4 linked regions of the Arabidopsis thaliana genome follow. The protein of the gene in region 4 interacts with the protein of the main gene of each other region in a pairwise test. Each region holds a gene or a part of one and is shown on either strand. Other genes may lie near its edges.

Region 1 (6,319 bases), on a different chromosome or scaffold from region 4:
TGGAATATATATAAATTATTTAATAACAATTTTATAATAAAAACACAAAAAGAATTCTGCACATCTAGGTAAATGGAATCTATATAAATTTATAAATTATTTGTCTAAATGTATAAAATACTTTATCTGTTATTCATATAACTACATTTTAGATTATTAGTTGAAAATAATCGTGACAAAAAGTTAGAGGAGAGAAAAAAAAAAAAAAATCTACAAAAAAAAAAAAATCTACAACACAAAATAGGATGTAGAAAATTAAAGATTTACAGTCAAAACAAAAAGATTTTTTTTGGGGCTCTAAGTTAAAGAAAAAAACTATAACATAATTGGCAACAATTTAGTCTTTAACAAATATATTATGGCTGTAAAAGACATTTAGCACAACCAATCAAGCATCTTTACAAGTTTCATTCACAATCCAAATTTTATTTTCGATGGTTTTTGGTTATTTAATACAAATTTTCATTGTTATTATTAGGATTTGATAGTTACCGCTACACTAGTCATATCCATTTGTTTCTGTGTAAGAACAGATGTGGTAGTAACTAGAAAGTATCAAAATGTCTGGAAAAACTTTTGATCATGTAAAAAGTTGATCATTATCGCAAACAAACCATTTTTGACGATTGTTATGTACACCAAAACTTAAAATAAATGGAAGTTTTGTTATAAATTCATTAACATCTTCAGAATAAACAAAACTTATGGCCAATATCATTGTTATACATAATCTGCTCAAATTTACTAGTAAGAACAACAACGGGGAAGAAACTATAAAAGACGAATTTCTCATTCAATAAGATTAAAACTAAACCAAAGTGCAAAGGAAGAATTGCTAATGGCAGTACGAGAAACTCAACCTATGGGTGGCGGTGCCCCGTTTGGTGTATCATTGGAGCTCCTATGGGACTTGTGTTTTGATCTCTTCTCCCGTTTCTTACTCCTGATGAAGATAAATAGAGAAGGGAGTCAATTGCAGAAGCAAAGCTTATGAAATATATATAGTGGTTAAAAGAATTAGTAGAAGAGAGGTTGTTAGTGTACTCGTCATGTGAAGAACTATGTCCTAGACAAGATTTTAGCTTCCGGTTGATATGCTTCATGTCCTTTTCACTTGGGCACTTGTAGTTCTTTACCTGAGATAAGAGAGAGCATCTAGTAAAACTTCCTTTTAGATATGCAAGTTTCATTGTTAAGATAATTATGGAAGTTAGTAAATACCAAATATTCGATGTTATCAAGTAACTTTGTAAGCTCTGAAGTCGTGTGCTCAGAGTTCGGTTGAGAAACAATGTTCTCTAGGTACCTGCACCAAATGCAGTTTAGTTGAAAATACAACCAGTAAAAAGCTTTGCATATACAGAAATTCAAGACCACGAGATTAATATCATGGAAAGATTAAAAGGGTAAATAATCGGGATGGATATAGAATAAGAGAAATAACCTATCAAAGTCAATCACTCCAAGAACCCCATTTGCAATACGTAACGACGCCAATGCCAACTACAAGGGCACACGTTCAAGAGTTGAGAGACAGTACAACAATTTGTGATACTTCTTTTGTTACATATACGCTAAAGAAAAACGAAAAATCCTGAAAGAAGGAACAAGGTGAGTATATATCGATAAGCTATACTACTATATCATAAACATTCATTAATTTCACTTAAATATCAGTCAAAGAGAAAACAAAGCACCAACTTTCATCCTAAATTTATGTCTTGAGTAGCATATTTAAAGCTTTACTGAAATATCCCAAACAATGAGTTTAACCAGATTCTTTGATGGATATTATTCAGTATCTTTAATCTGATAATAAGAGGCTAGGGAGACAAAATAAACTAGCATGCCCACCTGGCCAGGAGGAAAGAGGAGTGGAGCATCTGTGAGCATAACTTTATCGGCTTCTGCTGTCGCCCCTTTGAGCAAACTCTGCAGAATACTTGAAAAGTTATGCCAGTATGAGAAAATAATATTTCAATAAAGCCTGTTAAGTAAATAGACTTACAGCTATGATCACAAACTTACACTAAAATTTACATTTTGATCCCACATTCAGTTACCACATGCTTAAAATCTAGTGAAGATAAAGGAAATATCTGAAGATAGATCTACCTCTAGTTTTTGGATTTCATCATCTCTAGCTTGAAGAAATTCCTATAGGATGAAAAGATGAGGTTACTTTTGAAGATAGCGTGAAGTTCAACAAGGATGAAAAATAACACACCGAAAAAAGTATTGAAAATCTTGGTATATCCTATTATGGTTCACCAAGTTCTTGGCGTTAAGTTAACATTCAGAATTTTGTTTGCAACAAAACAATTGCCAATAAACTGAAAAAGAGTCTCATCACTATAAGATGTAAACAGAGAAAAGCCAGTTGAAATAAGAAAACCTACTAAGAAATTTAGACAGGACTGATTTACCTCCATGTTGTTGACAAAACCTTCGATTGCACGATACGGTGCATAAACAATCAGATCAAATTCCAAACTCTGCACATAGAGTTAATATAATATGAACAAAAGAATAGAGAGAGAAAAGAACACCAGGGAAAAATAAACATAGGGAAGTTGGTACAAATTAATTGACTCATATCATACCTGAAGAACAGCCATCTCGTACTTGAGAATTATTCGGTGATCTTGGTTAATCCCTTTCCCAATTTCCTCAGCAGATACATGATTCTCCTCTATTTTACAAGCTGCATACACACAGGTTAACCTGTTCAATGAAAGGTAACAATTAGTCCAAATTACAACAATGGACCATTTATGACTGACTTAAAAAGCCTCTCAGAGCTCAGAAATACAAAATGCTTAGCTCCATTTGGTAAACAATTTCAAAACTATTCTCTTGAAAAAAGCAAAGCTTTTGACCATTTTGAGGATTTAAAAGAACTATACATTATCTCTTTTGGATGATGTTGCATAACAGACCATTGCAGATAAAATCTCTTAAAGTATTGGAGGGCTGTTGCCTGCAAAATATTAGAAGGAAGAAACATAAATTCAGAGAGCAAACAAAAATCAGGTATTTTATTTTTAACTTCATCATAAACTTCTATCTCGACGAGTAGAAATGCACCTGAATCTTGTGAGGAAATGCAAAGGCACTGCACACTTCTTGGACCTTTGCCTCATAAAATGCTCTCATGAACCTTTCTTCATCAGCACTCAAAGGCTTAAGCTTCTTATCAGCTGAGAGTAACAAAGCAAAAAGTAACATTATTTAAACTTCGACAAACAAAACTATGATACGTATGAAGTAGATATTGAAGGAACCAAAATTTTTACCTTGATCTCCTGAACCAACTTTATCTTTAGGATATGTTAGTGATCCACTAGCATCTACTTCAACTTGAGTTGTTCCACACTATGAATAACAATAAGTTAAAATCTAAACATGAATACAGGACTAAAGCTCCATATCAACAATTATTCTAACAAACCTTCTCCAGCATTTGCACTGCCCTCTGGTTAGCAGCTTTATATCTCTCTGCCTACAATTACAACATTACAGCTTAGTTGCAATACCAATATCTCTACACAACAAGTAAGATAATAACAACAACAACACACATAACTAAGTAACAAAGAGTTCCAAATGCTCGATTAATCCGACTCTCTATGAAGCAATCAAAGCAAAGAAAATCCAAAGATGAACAAAATATAATTATAAAGCCGCATTGTAGTGATCAGAAGGAGAAGGGGATTACCAGTTTCTGGGGAGTGAAAATCCACTTGGCCCGTTGTGTTGATGTCTGAAAATCCGCCATTAACTGAGTTTTCAAAATTTTCGAAATCGAAAAATCTGAGCTTTCGAATTTCTTTGTGGAAAGTTCAGATTTTTGATCGAATTCACACGCTGTTGATGGCGATTATCCGTCTGAATCGGAAGGAGATTCTATAGATATTTCAATTTTGAATTTTAGGGCTTATATTAGAATTTAGGAGAAAAAATTATCTGGTGCTCGATTTGAATGGAGATTGGAATTGGATTGAGTTAGCTACGAGAAGAAGATGTTTTTGGTAATGAGAAGACGAGAATGAGGGAAGAGAGGAGAGCAGACGCAATATCTTGTCGGAATTCAGATGTGAAGACGAGTATGAAGGGAAAAAGAGGAGAGTACGGCAGAGCAATACAGTGTTAATGTCGGAAGTTGCTCATACGGCGAGATCGTTCCTGGCTTTGAGACTTGCGAGGAAGAAGAAACGTTGGTGAAACGACGTTCTTTCATGTTAAACAATAAACCCTAAGGTCAAACGATGTCGTTTAGCAAACATATTTATTATAAACGGTGTCGTTCGCTAACCCATTAAAACCCTTATTAACAGCCCTTTACTAACAAAAAAAAGAACAAGAATTTTCCAACCAAAAATAAGGTCATGGCTTAAATTTATGTTTCCAACCCTTAATAACACCCATACATGTGTCCAATTTATAGAATCTAAGTAAAAGTATAATATAGTGTTAATCAATCATTTTTTGAGTTTGACTCACGATTTTAGTTAGGTCTGGACATTCGGATTTTCGGGTCTGTTTAGATTGGGTTTTTGGGTTACTTTGGTAAAGAGATTGAAAATACATTTAGGAACTGAAAATATCGGTTGAGGTCTATTCGGGTTCGGGCTGGTTCTCAAATTTAATTGAAACCTGATATTGAACCTGAATTTACCGACAAATTATGTATACGTATTATTTCGAGTTACATGTATCCGTTTGAGTTTCGATATTTCAGGTATCTGTTCAGGTTTCAGATCCTACACGAACCAAACCAAAACCCCAAAATAAACACTTTAGATCCACTCGAACCAAAGCGAACTAGGTTTTTCGGGCTTCGGATTTTATGGTCATGCCTAGTTTTGTCCTTTGAAACATTAAAATTAGAAGTAAATCTACATATACATTTTTGCAGCCATTTTAGCAAATAAATTTTGTACTTGTATTTACAATGTCATGCCATTGACATTAAATATTTCCTGTCGATAATTAAATACAAGATATTATATTCAACAATAGTTGCCAAAGATCTTTCAAGATATATAATTGGTATTAATTATTCAGATTTGAAAATTTAAATACTTTATATTGCGCTCAACAAACGTTTCCAAAAATCTTTCCAACTTAAGTAAAAAATAATTATTATTTTTAAATATTATAGATATATTTTAACTTTATAAAACATTATTATTATTTAAACTTATAAAAAAATATCATGAGATGAGAAATATAGCGGGACGGGTTTGGATTGATATGAAATATAGTGGGACGAGTTTGGATTGATATAGCACATGTTAAATATTTATTTTATTATTTTATCATCACCATTTGTTTTAGTTATAACATTAATATAAAATTATAAAACTTAAATACTAAATTAAAAACCGTAAAATTTAATATTATTATATATGAATAAAACATTTGTCCGTGGTACACCACAGGTTAAATCCTAGTTGTTATTAAAGGTATTTCAAACATATCCATTTGGCATTGTTCTAGAATTTTAGTTAAGGAATAGTATATATTTGAGATTTTGTATTAAGGTGGGAATAAATTATTTCAGCCATTAGGATCCAAAATGACCCAAGAAAATAATCACTGAGAAAGAAAGAAAAAAAAAACAGCTCCAAAGTAAAAGGTAACCAAAGTTACAATGAATGATGACAAAAAAAAGTTACAGAATCAATGGTAACTAATTATCAACAGCCTTTGGAGCTGTTCAAATTATTAACTAACTATAAACTAAACTAACCTCTACAATCCAAACAATTAAATCTGATCTCCAAGTGTTATCTTCGATGTCAGGTTAATTACAAAGGACACAAATGTTTCATGACGTTCTTACAAGAGCCATTATTTGAGTCTTGATCAATCCCATACAAGTTTGAATTTCTCTGTATATCGGCATATTCTGTGGACACCGTGGCTGCAAGTCATTCACTACTGTATCCATTAGCTGAGCCACATCTGCTGGTGGGTACTGCTTCTTTGAGATCATCTGCAGGTAAATAACACACAAAGAGTTCTAATCAAAACCGCATCAAGTGAAAACTTTGGTATTCTTGATTTAGATTACACTTTCGTTAGTCCAAGACAAAATTATTTCCTTTACCTGCATCATGAGCCAAGATGCAACACAAGAGGTGATAAGCTCTGAAGGCATTGGTGTTTTGTTTTTTCCTGATCCTTCCTGTGAGATGAAACCGTTACTCATCGGCTCTGCTGTGTTTAAGGAATGATGATCCAAGCTGCCATTGGTATACTCTTGATGCTTGATACCAGGCACTATAGAGTTGTCTAATGGCTGATGTTCGCC
Region 2 (5,316 bases), on a different chromosome or scaffold from region 4:
GTTTGTCAACTTTACTTCACCTCCACACTAATGGAATCATATGTTTTGAAGAAATCCTAAATGTCTCAACTTTTCTTCAGATTTCCAATCGGGTCTCGTGTAGTTGGAGCTTTCATTATGCCTTGTGGAACCTGTTCTTATTGTGCTAAGGTGAGAACGAAATTGTATTGCTTTCATCGGATTCTCTAATCTGAGAACTGTAGCTTTTTAGCTGATATTTTAATTTGGATACAGGGCCATGATGATCTATGTGAAGACTTCTTTGCTTACAACAGAGCCAAGGGAACTCTTTACGATGGCGAAACTCGTCTCTTTTTGCGACATGATGGTAAATTTGAAGACTTTTTAAACATCAGGTGGCATATTAGGAGAACTGTGATTGTTTTACCTAATTACATTTCTTAATTTCTGGCAGATTCACCAGTGTATATGTATAGTATGGGAGGGATGGCTGAGTACTGTGTTACACCAGCTCATGGTTTAGCTCCTCTACCAGAGTCTTTGCCCTACTCTGAATCTGCCATTCTGGGATGTGCTGTTTTTACAGCATATGGTGCTATGGCTCATGCTGCTGAGATCCGTCCTGGAGATTCTATTGCAGTTATTGGAATTGGTGGTGTGGGCTCCAGGTATGTTAAATGTGTGGCATTTTCTTTTCTTTACCGGATTTGGGTTTTATTGCTTCTTGTATGACCATAACCATCTTTGAGTTGTTGCTTCAGTTGTTTGCAGATCGCAAGGGCTTTTGGAGCCTCGGATATCATTGCTGTGGATGTTCAGGATGATAAATTACAGAAGGCCAAGACACTTGGTGCTACTCATATTGTCAATGCTGCTAAAGAAGATGCTGTTGAAAGGATAAGAGTATGGTTGATTCAAGACCTCTTATTTGTGAAGATGAACCATTGATTGATATAAATATGAAAAACTGTTTCTTCTTCGTAGGAAATAACCGGTGGGATGGGTGTTGATGTTGCTGTTGAAGCCTTGGGAAAGCCTCAAACTTTCATGCAGTGCACACTAAGTGTGAAAGATGGTGGAAAAGCTGTGATGATTGGACTCTCACAAGCTGGTTCCGTTGGAGAAATTGACATAAATCGACTTGTTCGTAGAAAGGTTTGGGGTTCTTACTCTCTCTCTCTCGGCCTTGTTAGAAGAAAGTCTCTGGTACTGAGATTGTCTTTTAAGATCATGATATTGAATCTCTTTTTGTTCTGTTTTTCCAATTTTTTGTGAAGATAAAAGTTATAGGATCTTATGGAGGAAGAGCAAGACAGGATCTTCCTAAAGTAGTGAAATTGGCAGAGTCAGGGATTTTCAATCTCACAAACGCAGTCTCAAGTAAATACAAGTTTGAAGATGCAGGAAAAGCATTTCAAGATCTCAACGAAGGCAAAATCGTGAGCCGAGGTGTTGTTGAGATACTATAACCAATATAGCCTTTTGATTCTGGTTTGTGAATGACTGCTTCACACCTGTTTCACTGAGGTCTATTTTTAGTTGCTACAATCTTCAGACAAGGTCATTGTTAATCTGATATTTGTGTTTGTTTAGACAGTGAAAAGGAAAAAAAAAAACTGTAGTAACTGGACAAAATTTATAATTTTACTGTTTTTCATTTCTTTCCAACATTTATTGTTTTTCTATACTGTTAATATTTTTAATTTCTTCCCTCTTTTCACAATTTTCTACTTTCTAAGAATATTAATAACTGACATATATATAAAAAAACACAATTTATTTCTCTTTTGATAAAATTATCTATAAATCATTAAATCTTTGATGAGAAATATCCAATCTACTAATGTATATCGATGATTTAAATGAAATTACTTATTTGAACACAAAAATAAATGAATTTACTAATAAATAAATAGCGTAGTTGGAGCAAGTGGCTAAAAAAATTACAAATCTAGTTTCCATTCTCAGCGTCGGCTGCTTGGAACGTCACCGTTTTCTGGAAAACGCAATCTTCTCCCTTCCGTGACGTCTCACCGGAATTTTCTCGCTTTTGTCTACTCTCCTCCATCTCCGAGGTTCTCCAAGCTCAGCTCCTCTTCCCATCATTCATCCGACCGCCTTATCCGGTCAGATCCTTTACGTATTTCTATTTTCCTGATCGTCGATTTTTGAGAAATGTAAAAACAGATCGTATAAGGCCTCGAAGTTTTTAATTTGAAAGTGGTATCGAAATTTTTTGGTCTTTGATTAGGTTAGGGCACCGTAGCTCTGGGTATTGAATTTGTAGGGTTTTCCTCTGGTTATTGGTCTTTGGAGCTTGGTAATTTCTGCTGAATTGATTGATCCCTTTTCCATCTTTTGAAGTAAAGTCTCGAGCTTTCGTGTCTCGATGTAGATGAATTCTATTTTGAATATGAGATTTGATAAGACGTCAATTGCTGATAATTTGGAGTCTTTGTGTCTGAATTTGTTCATATGAAGTTTTCTGAGGGATGTGAATTTTATTGTCTGCTAATTTTGAAACGTTCCTTTTGGAATTTGGTTTGTGAGGAGTCCTAGATCTTTTTCTGTGAAGTTTCTTGCTTGTAAGTTTTCTGGATCACTTGATTGAGTCTAGAATCTAGATAGATTACATGTACGGTTTGATTCCTTTGGCTGATTTTCCAAAGTTTTGTTCAAATTTCAGGAGAACTACAAAGAGGAAACCAAGATTGTTTTGTTTTGTTAGACTCTACCCCTTTTCCGATTCACATGGTAAGGACATTGAGGTAGAGAATAATACTAAAAAGCAATGGGAGATGGGAGTTCCAGTAGATCCAACAGCTCAAACAGCACTAGTGAGAAACCAGAGTGGCTGCAACAGTACAATCTCGTTGGTAAGATTGGTGAAGGCACTTATGGTCTTGTTTTCTTGGCTAGAACCAAGACTCCGCCTAAAAGACCTATTGCTATCAAGAAGTTTAAGCAGTCCAAAGATGGAGATGGAGTTTCCCCGACTGCTATCCGCGAGATCATGTTGCTTAGAGAGATTTCCCATGAGAACGTCGTGAAGCTTGTGAATGTCCACATCAATTTTGCAGACATGTCTCTGTATCTTGCCTTTGATTATGCCGAGTACGATCTCTATGAAATCATCAGGCACCACAGAGACAAAGTCGGCCATTCGTTAAACACATACACAGTTAAGTCTTTGCTCTGGCAGCTTCTCAACGGATTGAACTATCTTCACAGTAATTGGATTATACACAGAGATTTGAAACCGTCGAATATCTTGGTTATGGGTGATGCAGAAGAGCACGGAATAGTGAAAATAGCTGATTTCGGGCTCGCAAGGATATATCAAGCTCCGTTGAAACCACTATCGGATAACGGAGTTGTGGTCACAATCTGGTACCGAGCACCAGAGCTGCTTCTTGGTTCGAAGCACTACACGAGCGCTGTTGATATGTGGGCAGTTGGGTGTATATTCGCGGAGTTACTAACTCTTAAACCGTTGTTTCAAGGAGCAGAAGCGAAATCGTCTCAAAACCCTTTCCAGTTAGATCAACTTGACAAGATATTCAAGATCTTAGGCCACCCGACGATGGATAAATGGCCAACACTAGTTAACCTTCCACACTGGCAAAATGATGTTCAACACATTCAAGCTCACAAATACGACAGTGTGGGTCTCCACAACGTGGTTCACCTGAATCAGAAAAGTCCTGCGTATGATCTGTTATCCAAAATGCTGGAATATGATCCTCTAAAGCGGATCACGGCTTCACAAGCACTAGAACACGAGTATTTCCGAATGGATCCTCTCCCAGGACGGAACGCATTTGTAGCCAGCCAACCGATGGAGAAGAATGTGAATTACCCAACTCGTCCAGTAGATACAAACACCGATTTCGAAGGCACGACAAGCATCAATCCGCCTCAAGCAGTAGCAGCAGGAAACGTAGCAGGGAACATGGCAGGAGCTCATGGAATGGGCAGTAGATCGATGCCAAGACCAATGGTTGCACATAACATGCAGAGGATGCAGCAATCTCAAGGCATGATGGCTTATAATTTCCCGGCACAGGCAGGGCTTAACCCGAGTGTTCCGCTGCAGCAGCAGCGCGGGATGGCTCAACCGCACCAGCAGCAACAGCTAAGAAGGAAAGATCCCGGAATGGGTATGTCAGGTTACGCACCTCCTAACAAATCCAGACGCCTCTAAAGGTAAAATCGAGATCATCAGTCTCGGGTTAGAATCTGTGTGTTTGCCGCAGAAGAAAGCGTTGCGATTTGCTTTATAGAGTAGAGTTAGATTGTAATGCAGCATGTGGAATGTTGCTATTCATATGGATGGATTGGATTCTCTGTAGTTTTTGTATAAACATCCTCTCAAGTATTTGTTAATTATATTAGATCATCATTTCTCTTAACATCATTTCTCAAAACGTAGTAAATAGGAGATTTGCCAAGTGAAAAATATATATAATGAGACAGTTATTATGAACACAATTTACAGTTATTATGAACACAATTTTGGTGATGTTTCTACTGTTTATGAAATTTGTTTTTTTTTTACCTGCCAGTCTTATCTATTTACCACCAACATACATTAGAATCTAATGTAATTACATCATCAATCATAGACCTAATGAATATTTAATACCACACAGTTTAAACATTGCTATTAAAGTTTGAAAAGATTATACTTTAGTAAAATAATGTTTTCAAACTTGTATTCAATTATACTACGTAAGCAGTGATCCAATTATTACGAACATAATACTTTTCCAAATCAAAATTTTGTTTTTGTTCACCTTACCATCAGTTTCATAATAGAAATATTATATATATACAACACAAACAAATGAATGAGAAATGTTTTTCTATTATTATGACTTTTATTTAAGATTCAAAAGAACGAAGAAGAGTTATATATATGCTTGTTTGTTTCAGGACAAATACAATAAATAAGTGGATAAGAAAACCACAAACCTTGAACTAGCCTGAAATGTGTGAACCAAGCTATACAAACTGTACGTGATTCTGCATCGTGGAAGTCACAAACAGACTTCTGACTTCTGCTAAAGATAAAACTCACTGTTTGCAAGCAATTTAGTATAAATATGAAGCATTGACCTACCAAGATCGACACAATCACACAGTTTCTTCTTAATTAAACCTAGCTATTTTTGTCTTTAGCAGAAGTCAGAAAGCTAGTTTTGTATTTTTCTTATTTCTTAAATATATGGCGGCCAATGTTATGAGACGGTTTATGATTTAAAGATACACAATGGACCCACGACGTTGCCATAATACAATTATTAGGCTGTTAATTAACGTGATCGTTACGTTTGCTACAAACTAGCTAGTTGT
Region 3 (4,026 bases), on a different chromosome or scaffold from region 4:
AAGAGAAGATTGTATTGGCTGAGTGATAGGGTTCTCTTCATCCATTGTTTTCTGTTTTTTCCTTGGTCGTCCTTGAGGTTTCTTGGGTGGTTTTGGCATTGCTTTACACTTGCATGAACGTTTGTTGTGTCCGACTTGTTGACAATTGCTGCAAGTCTAAATATGCAAAGATTAAATTTAATAATTTGAAAATGAAGATCTTGTGAAACATAATTCATTGTTCTCTATTTTACCATTTAAACTTTTTCACGTGTATAAAGAACTTTTTGAGGTGGACGATCTTCAGTTGGATCACGGATTCTGTCATTGTTCTTTGGTCGATTTTTGGAAATTAATATCCCATTAATATTTAATTACTATGGGGTTAAGTTTATTAACAGGTTTTAGTTCAGAGTTTGTTTTACTAAAAACATAGTTCAGAATTTAAAAATAGATCTGACCAAAGCTGACGGTTTTTTTCATTAAATTCCCTTAATAAAATGGTTGCAAATAAGTTTATTGACCCTAGTAAATCAGTAACGGTTTTTCATAATCAACTTTAAAGTCTTTAAGCCATTTTCTTTCGTTTAGTCAATGCCCTATCATTGAATATTATCTTTGTTTTCTTTTTCATTATTGTAATTTTCTTTTATGTATAGTAGTCCAATAATTTTTTAATATTCAGCCATTGTTTAGTTTCCACATGAAACACACAATTTGTTTATAATCTTGTTTTTCTTTCCCCTTTACATAGAACTTCTTATGATGATTTTTATGAGTTTGTGAAATTGCATACCTTGCACATTCGTAGACCTAGTCAGAATTTTTGTTGTTGTTGTAGTATCTTTATTGTAAAAAGAAATGGTTTTCTTAATGTAACTATCGATCAAAACTGATGCAATTACCATACATGAAATTGGAATGAGTGTAAGAAGAATATAAAGTTGAAATAAATCAAAAATGTGAAACTGAATCAATATCATATGAAGTTGAATCATGTATACTAGAAGCCTAGAACACAAGAAACAACCCACCATTAATGAATAATGAGTAAGAGTTCACAGTCCCAAAATAATTGAAGTTACAAATTCGAACACAAAAAATCAAACCTAAACATTTTTCCAATTGGTTGAGTAAGTGAAAAAAAACTACGTAGTAAGAAATTCTTTTTTTGAGTTTGTGCCAAACATTGAACATTAACGTATAAGGAGAAAACTAATGGGATACAAGCTAAAACAGTTATAGTCTTATTAATTAGTATGTTAAATACTAGATTAAAGTTAAAATGAAGTTGGAAAAGCTCGAAGTTTCAACCAATTAATGCGAAATGATCGACTCTTCAAGTAATATTAATAGTTTAGCAAAATAAATGACTGAAAAATCTTTATTATGGGTTGTGGCTGCAAGCATGAGCTTAGCTTTTTGTACTCAGGGCCGGCTTTACATCAAAGATCATGCATAGATTCATTCAACTAAACATTCACCATGGATAATGAATTGAAATCTATAAACATAATCAAGCAAATATCTTATACTATACTTATCTGTTTAAAATGACTTTGAGTCTTTGACTAATAAAATATTATTGGTACGTGTGAAGCGTGCGAGGGATTCAAATGTTAAACGTTATAGCAAAGAGGCGCCTTTATTTACCAGATCTAAAATCGAAAAGGGGCTTTAGGGTTTATAAGACCCAAACAAAAAACATTCATCAGTCTCAATTCAAAATCCTCCATCAATGGAGAAATACGAGAAGCTCGAAAAGGTCGGTGAAGGAACCTATGGAAAAGTCTACAAAGCAATGGAGAAAACCACCGGAAAACTCGTCGCTCTGAAGAAAACTAGGCTCGAAATGGACGAAGAAGGTATACCACCAACGGCTCTCCGTGAGATCTCTCTTCTCCAAATGCTTTCTCAATCAATCTACATCGTTCGTCTCCTCTGCGTCGAACATGTTATTCAATCGAAAGATTCGACTGTTTCTCACTCTCCCAAATCCAATCTCTATCTCGTTTTTGAGTATCTCGACACTGATCTCAAGAAATTTATAGATTCTCATAGAAAGGGCTCGAATCCTAGACCGCTTGAGGCTTCTCTTGTGCAGAGGTTTATGTTTCAGCTTTTTAAAGGTGTGGCTCATTGTCATAGCCATGGTGTGCTTCACCGTGATCTTAAACCGCAGAATCTTCTATTGGATAAGGATAAAGGGATTCTTAAGATTGCTGATTTGGGTCTTAGTCGTGCTTTTACTGTGCCTCTTAAGGCTTATACACATGAGATTGTTACTCTTTGGTATAGAGCTCCTGAAGTTTTGCTTGGTTCTACTCATTACTCTACTGCTGTTGATATTTGGTCTGTTGGATGCATCTTTGGTTAGTAATCAGCTACTATGTCTCTTTTAATGGTCTTTTGTTCTACTGTTTGGATTACTGATGTTTCCCCATTTTTTTGTAGCCGAGATGATTAGGAGGCAAGCTCTTTTCCCTGGTGATTCTGAGTTTCAGCAACTACTTCATATTTTCAGGTATTTGCTTCTTGTTTTTGATGCCAATGTGTATGTATACAGGAACCAGTTTAGGACTTTAGCCCATTAGGTTCAGTACTCGTGAACTCATTTGGATTATGGGGACTGTCTAGTATCAATATATCTGAAGTATGGTTTTGTTTTGGGTTCTGGAGATTGTTAGGAACACCAACTGAGCAGCAATGGCCGGGTGTAATGGCATTGCGTGACTGGCATGTCTATCCAAAGTGGGAGCCGCAAGACTTATCACGTGCTGTTCCATCTCTATCTCCTGAAGGAATTGATCTTCTCACGGTAATGCTCTTTTCTAAAATATGACCATTGTTGGAGAAGTGGCCTAAGATTCTCTTGCATACTTGATCTCTTTAGTAGATTCTTTCTGTTGGGGTTCGTTCCTAGTTGATGATAATTTGTTTTGAACCTTTGAACAATTGCAGCAAATGTTGAAGTACAATCCAGCAGAAAGAATTTCAGCAAAAGCAGCTCTCGATCATCCCTACTTTGACAGCCTTGACAAATCTCAGTTCTGACCTCTGCCAAATTACTGATCAGGCTTCTCTTTGGAGTTCTGAAGCTGATGGCTCAAGTTTATTGTCTTGGTGTCTTATGCTGTGTGCTTTAGAAAGATTTGTACTTAAACTAAACAATCTGAAAACCTTGTTTGTTCAGCGAGAGTGAGAGAATCTTCTTTAAGTGGCCAATTTTATTTGTTCATGTAAACAAGTCTATCAAAGCAAAAATGGTTAACCCTATTAAGCAGACAAATCATTAGTGTACATAAATGAGAGACGAATTTGAAATATTTGCTGTTTCATTACAACGACAATTGCTACTCAAACACACAAGTAAATTACATATCTCATGATATTACACAATTGAGAAACAGAACAAGATACAGAGATCTCTTGTATTAATGTAAAAAAAACAAAACAAATGATGAGTAGCTTCAATTAGACCAGACATGGAGGAGGCCGTGTCTGTTTCCTGTGTATATTTCATTCCGTTCTTCGTCGTAGAAGAGAGCGGTTATGTCTTCCAAAGCCTCAGCAACCGCACTTCTCCTTCGAGAGGAATTCCCCAAATCACTACTGCTGCAGTCCTCTTCCTTAGGAGGACCATTATTTGCTTTTATCTTAGCTAAGCATTTACCAGTCAAGATATTGCTTATGTTAATCGACCCCGCTACATCAACAACCAAAATCACGACAATGTCTCAATAGCAAAACAAAATCAGACCATGAGGTTTCTTGATTTGAAGAGTGGATGATGAGTCTACTTACCATTTCCTTCTATCCACTGATCTTCAGTATCTGCCTTGCAATATGAGATGATCAGATCTTGATCGCTTGTTATGTAGATATTGTTTGTGTTACAGTCTGGATGCCAAAGAAGATGATCCTCAAACGAGGTCACAAGCTCTCCGCGGAAATTCCACACAGAAACATTTCGGTTCCTGAATGTTAGAAACAACTGATTCTCATACAAAAATATGAATGCTGATGGTGTCATGAAGTCAGTTCTGC
Region 4 (3,671 bases):
CTTTATGTATATTTGGATAAAAACTGGGACATATCTAAAAGTAATGTTTTACGATAAATACTATCACAATTTAAATCGAAAATTATCCTTCAAAACGAATATCAATATGTATTCATTGAGAGATTTTAAAACTTAGGGATTCATTTGTTGGTACTAGCGTTTAAGTTTTCATAATTAAGAACTACGGATGTATACATAGATATATGATAATTTTATTTTCGTAGTAATTGTTATGATAATCTTTGTTCTTTTGAAGTCAACAACATATATTATGCGAATTTTTAAACTACATTATATGTTTAGCTCACTATTTTATTTTGAATATCTCATAAGTATGTATATATACTTACACATTGTTATAGTGAGTGTAAAAAAGAGAGAGACAGTTTAGTAATGATTGAGTATGCAGCTCGTGGGCACATTATTAAATTGAATGGTATGATGGATATGCGCAGACACTGTCTTGTGTGAACTCAAGAATCGATACAGAACGACGGCATTAAAAAAAAAGAAAAAATTCAATATAAGACGAAAATGATGATGGAAAAAAATTCTTTTATTTTTACCAACGAAATGTATGCGATATGAACTAGTAGTATTTAATTCACTGTGTGAATTAGTAGTAATATTTAAGCATGTGAATATGTTTGTGTACGTATTGTATTGCCACAACAAAACAGCATGTCGCAGCATTGATTTCATTATCACCTAACCGTTAAATACGTCATGGCCCTAGACTTAATGTATTTTAGACTTAATGTATTTTATACCTTATTTTGATATGTGTACGGTCGACCCCCTCACAAAATTGAAATATTACGACTATGCATTGAAAAACTATACACAACTACATTGTCAAATACTGATAAGATCTTAACACAGAAACACATATTATCACTAATAATGTAACGTGACAACATTACATTGCTTTACACACATTTTTTTTAATCTATTTAAGATGATTGGATGATATTGTCATTTTTCTCTATAAATCTAAGATTTTTATTGTCTTTATAATCTAAATTCGCAATTATTACAACAAAAAATTATCAAATCTAAATTTATTTTTAAAATCCACGATAATTATTCTCATTCTATTTCATTGGAAACACCAACCAATTATTTTAAAAAACAGAAAACATATTAATTAAAAAATTGAATTCAAATTCTATTTACCATTCTAAAAAAAAAATTATGCACTGATTCTGTAAACGTTGACACCGTTAACGTAGTCGTAGATATGCACTGATTCTGTAAACGTTGACACCGTTAATGTAATCACATCGAATAAAAGACATATGTTGATCGTGTAAAGGTATAAGATACTCGATCTATAACATCGTTGTCAAATTCCATGTTGCATATACATTATATTGCTTTACACACATTTTTTTATCTATTTGATCGTCTGTGAATTAATATGATAATTTGATGGTATTATTGTTATCTTTATAATATAAATTCGTAATTATTATAACAAAAAATAAACAGTTTTATCTTAATATCCACAATAATTATTTTCATTCTCGTTGATTTATTGGAAAAGCCAGCCAATTATATTAAAATAAATAAAAACAACATATTAATTCAAAAAAATTTGAATTCAAAAAAATTTATCATTCTAAAGTAACTAGATATGCACTAATTGCACTGATTTTGTAAACTTTGAAACTATTAATGTAATCGTAACGAATAAAAGACACGTATCAATCGTGTAAGGTATAAAATACTCGATTTTTAACGGCGCCGTCAAATTCTCCGTTACATATTAAAAGAATTACTATTCCTACTTCACACGAGGCTTTATATGAAAATGACAAGAGTTAATCGTGGCCGTTAACAAATTACGATCAAAACGAAGATCGTCACCATCTTATAACAGAATAACCCAAATGGTACGCGAGCTAGAGACTCTCTAGTAGAGAGAAAGAGAGAGAAACACAAACACGCACACATAACGAGTGATTTTAGAGAGAGATAGAGATCTGGAAGGTGACGTCGTAGGAGATTATGGCGGCGGTTAGGAGAAGAGAACGAGATGTGGTTGAAGAGAATGGAGTTACGACGACGACGGTGAAACGAAGGAAGATGGAGGAGGAAGTGGATTTAGTGGAATCTAGGATAATTCTGTCTCCGTGTGTACAGGCGACGAATCGCGGTGGAATTGTGGCGAGAAATTCAGCAGGAGCGTCGGAGACGAGTGTTGTTATAGTACGACGGCGAGATTCTCCTCCGGTTGAAGAACAGTGTCAAATCGAAGAAGAAGATTCGTCGGTTTCGTGTTGTTCTACATCGGAAGAGAAATCGAAACGGAGAATCGAATTTGTAGATCTTGAGGTGACAACGAAAGCATTATTTATCGAAACTGAATTTTGATTTACAGATTTTGAAATTTTTGAATTCGTTTTTCCAGGAAAATAACGGTGACGATCGTGAAACAGAAACGTCGTGGATTTACGATGATTTGAATAAGAGGTTTGTTTAATTTGTTACAGATATTAAAATTTTGAATCAGTAACAAACATTTCTATAAAATGTCTTTGATTTTTTTGTGTATAGTGAGGAATCGATGAACATGGATTCTTCTTCGGTGGCTGTTGAAGATGTAGAGTCTCGCCGCAGGTTAAGGAAGAGTCTCCATGAGACGGTGAAGGAAGCTGAGTTAGAAGACTTTTTTCAGGTGGCGGAGAAAGATCTTCGGAATAAGTTGTTGGAATGTTCTATGAAGTAAGTTTTTTTTTTTTGATTCAAATCTTTTAATCGAATTTTTGAAACTGATAATGAATTTGTTGTTAGGTATAACTTCGATTTCGAGAAAGATGAGCCACTTGGTGGAGGAAGATACGAGTGGGTTAAATTGAATCCATGAAGAAGACGATGATGATAATGATGATCATTGTTTTCACCAAAGTACTTATTATTTCTCTTCTGTAATAATCTTTGCTTTGATTTTTCTTTTAACAAAATCCAAATGTAGATATCTTTCTCTCGAATAATCAATAACATGTAATTCAACTTTTGTTTGTACTTCCTTGAGGTAATTAATTAGATTCGTGTTTTTCTCGATTAATAAACTATAAGTTTATAACTCTAAGAGTAATTATAATTGTTACTGAAAACTAAATAGCTTCTATTATTTCTATGTATCAATTATCATACAGTATTTGATTTTTTTTTTTTAACAATGAAAAGAGAGTGTAGAGCAGAACAAAAAAGGGTCACGGCTGACGTGGTAAAGGAATATAACTGTTTATTGATCAGGCTTTTTCAGTAAAAAAGTTACTATTTTATTCTCACTTGGATTGGATTGTAGGTGCTACTCTAGTGATTAACTACGAACTTGTTTGTGCTTTACAAGTTATTAAACTAAAATATTGTACTATCTCCTTGCATTTTACAAATTTAGCTATTTGAAATTATATATTTTTTAAAAATAAAATAGCTTAAATATACACTTCCAGTTTTTCCCTCTCAATTTCTTTCAACAAAGTAACTATTTTGAGTTGTATTATTTTATTTTCCTAATTTATCTATCTAATATAACATGGATATTAGATATGGTTGGTGTACCTAACGCCTATAATTTATACTCGATTAGCAACAACCAAAAAAAAGAAGAAGAAGAAGAAGAAGTTGAGTCATTTAAATCTCTGTAAGAGAAATGATTTACG

What was found.
Region 1: the proteins of KRP2 (region 4) and CYCH;1 interact in a protein complementation assay, tested with the Arabidopsis thaliana proteins (one large-scale study listed by BioGRID).
Region 2: the proteins of KRP2 (region 4) and CDKE;1 interact in a protein complementation assay, tested with the Arabidopsis thaliana proteins (one large-scale study listed by BioGRID).
Region 3: the proteins of KRP2 (region 4) and CDKB1;2 interact in a protein complementation assay, tested with the Arabidopsis thaliana proteins (one large-scale study listed by BioGRID).

Annotation. Positions count from the first base shown.
Region 1 is NC_003076.8:9,769,221-9,775,539, reverse strand, and holds CYCH;1 (cyclin H;1), read right to left. Parts: upstream 4,238-6,319; 5' UTR 3,779-4,237; coding exon 3,719-3,778; intron 3,503-3,718; coding exon 3,452-3,502; intron 3,376-3,451; coding exon 3,297-3,375; intron 3,201-3,296; coding exon 3,088-3,200; intron 2,981-3,087; coding exon 2,907-2,980; intron 2,725-2,906; coding exon 2,604-2,724; intron 2,496-2,603; coding exon 2,427-2,495; intron 2,158-2,426; coding exon 2,116-2,157; intron 1,933-2,115; coding exon 1,855-1,932; intron 1,504-1,854; coding exon 1,445-1,503; intron 1,307-1,444; coding exon 1,222-1,306; coding exon of another isoform or gene 1,156-1,221; exon of another isoform or gene 1,137-1,155; coding exon 861-1,136; coding exon of another isoform or gene 856-860; 3' UTR 665-855; downstream 1-664. Other genes in the region: ALY1 (protein ALWAYS EARLY 1), read right to left, coding at 5,834-6,001, 6,116-6,319. UniProt on the Arabidopsis thaliana protein: Associates with CDK-2 and CDK-3 and activates the CDK kinases.
Region 2 is NC_003076.8:25,462,494-25,467,809, reverse strand, and holds CDKE;1 (cyclin-dependent kinase E;1), read left to right. Parts: upstream 1-1,887; 5' UTR 1,888-2,087; intron 2,088-2,647; 5' UTR 2,648-2,752; coding exon 2,753-4,165; 3' UTR 4,166-4,448; downstream 4,449-5,316. Other genes in the region: AT5G63620 (GroES-like zinc-binding alcohol dehydrogenase family protein), read left to right, coding at 81-150, 235-328, 416-629, 723-864, 946-1,123, 1,246-1,430. UniProt on the Arabidopsis thaliana protein: Involved in cell differentiation. Required for the specification of stamen and carpel identities and for the proper termination of stem cells in the floral meristem.
Region 3 is NC_003071.7:16,150,834-16,154,859, forward strand, and holds CDKB1;2 (cyclin-dependent kinase B1;2), read left to right. Parts: upstream 1-1,639; 5' UTR 1,640-1,717; coding exon 1,718-2,351; intron 2,352-2,433; coding exon 2,434-2,503; coding exon of another isoform or gene 2,504-2,573; exon of another isoform or gene 2,574-2,658; coding exon 2,659-2,797; exon of another isoform or gene 2,798-2,940; coding exon 2,941-3,033; 3' UTR 3,034-3,253; downstream 3,254-4,026. Other genes in the region: AT2G38630 (Transducin/WD40 repeat-like superfamily protein), read right to left, coding at 3,450-3,685, 3,784-4,026. UniProt on the Arabidopsis thaliana protein: Together with CDKB1-1, promotes both the last division in the stomatal cell lineage as well as the number of stomata.
Region 4 is NC_003074.8:18,798,498-18,802,168, forward strand, and holds KRP2 (KIP-related protein 2), read left to right. Parts: upstream 1-1,808; 5' UTR 1,809-2,010; coding exon 2,011-2,337; intron 2,338-2,413; coding exon 2,414-2,475; intron 2,476-2,559; coding exon 2,560-2,727; coding exon of another isoform or gene 2,728-2,731; exon of another isoform or gene 2,732-2,796; coding exon 2,797-2,869; 3' UTR 2,870-3,098; downstream 3,099-3,671. UniProt on the Arabidopsis thaliana protein: Binds and inhibits CYCD2-1/CDKA-1 complex kinase activity. Regulates cell division which is crucial for plant growth, development and morphogenesis. May regulate early lateral root initiation by blocking the G1/S phase transition.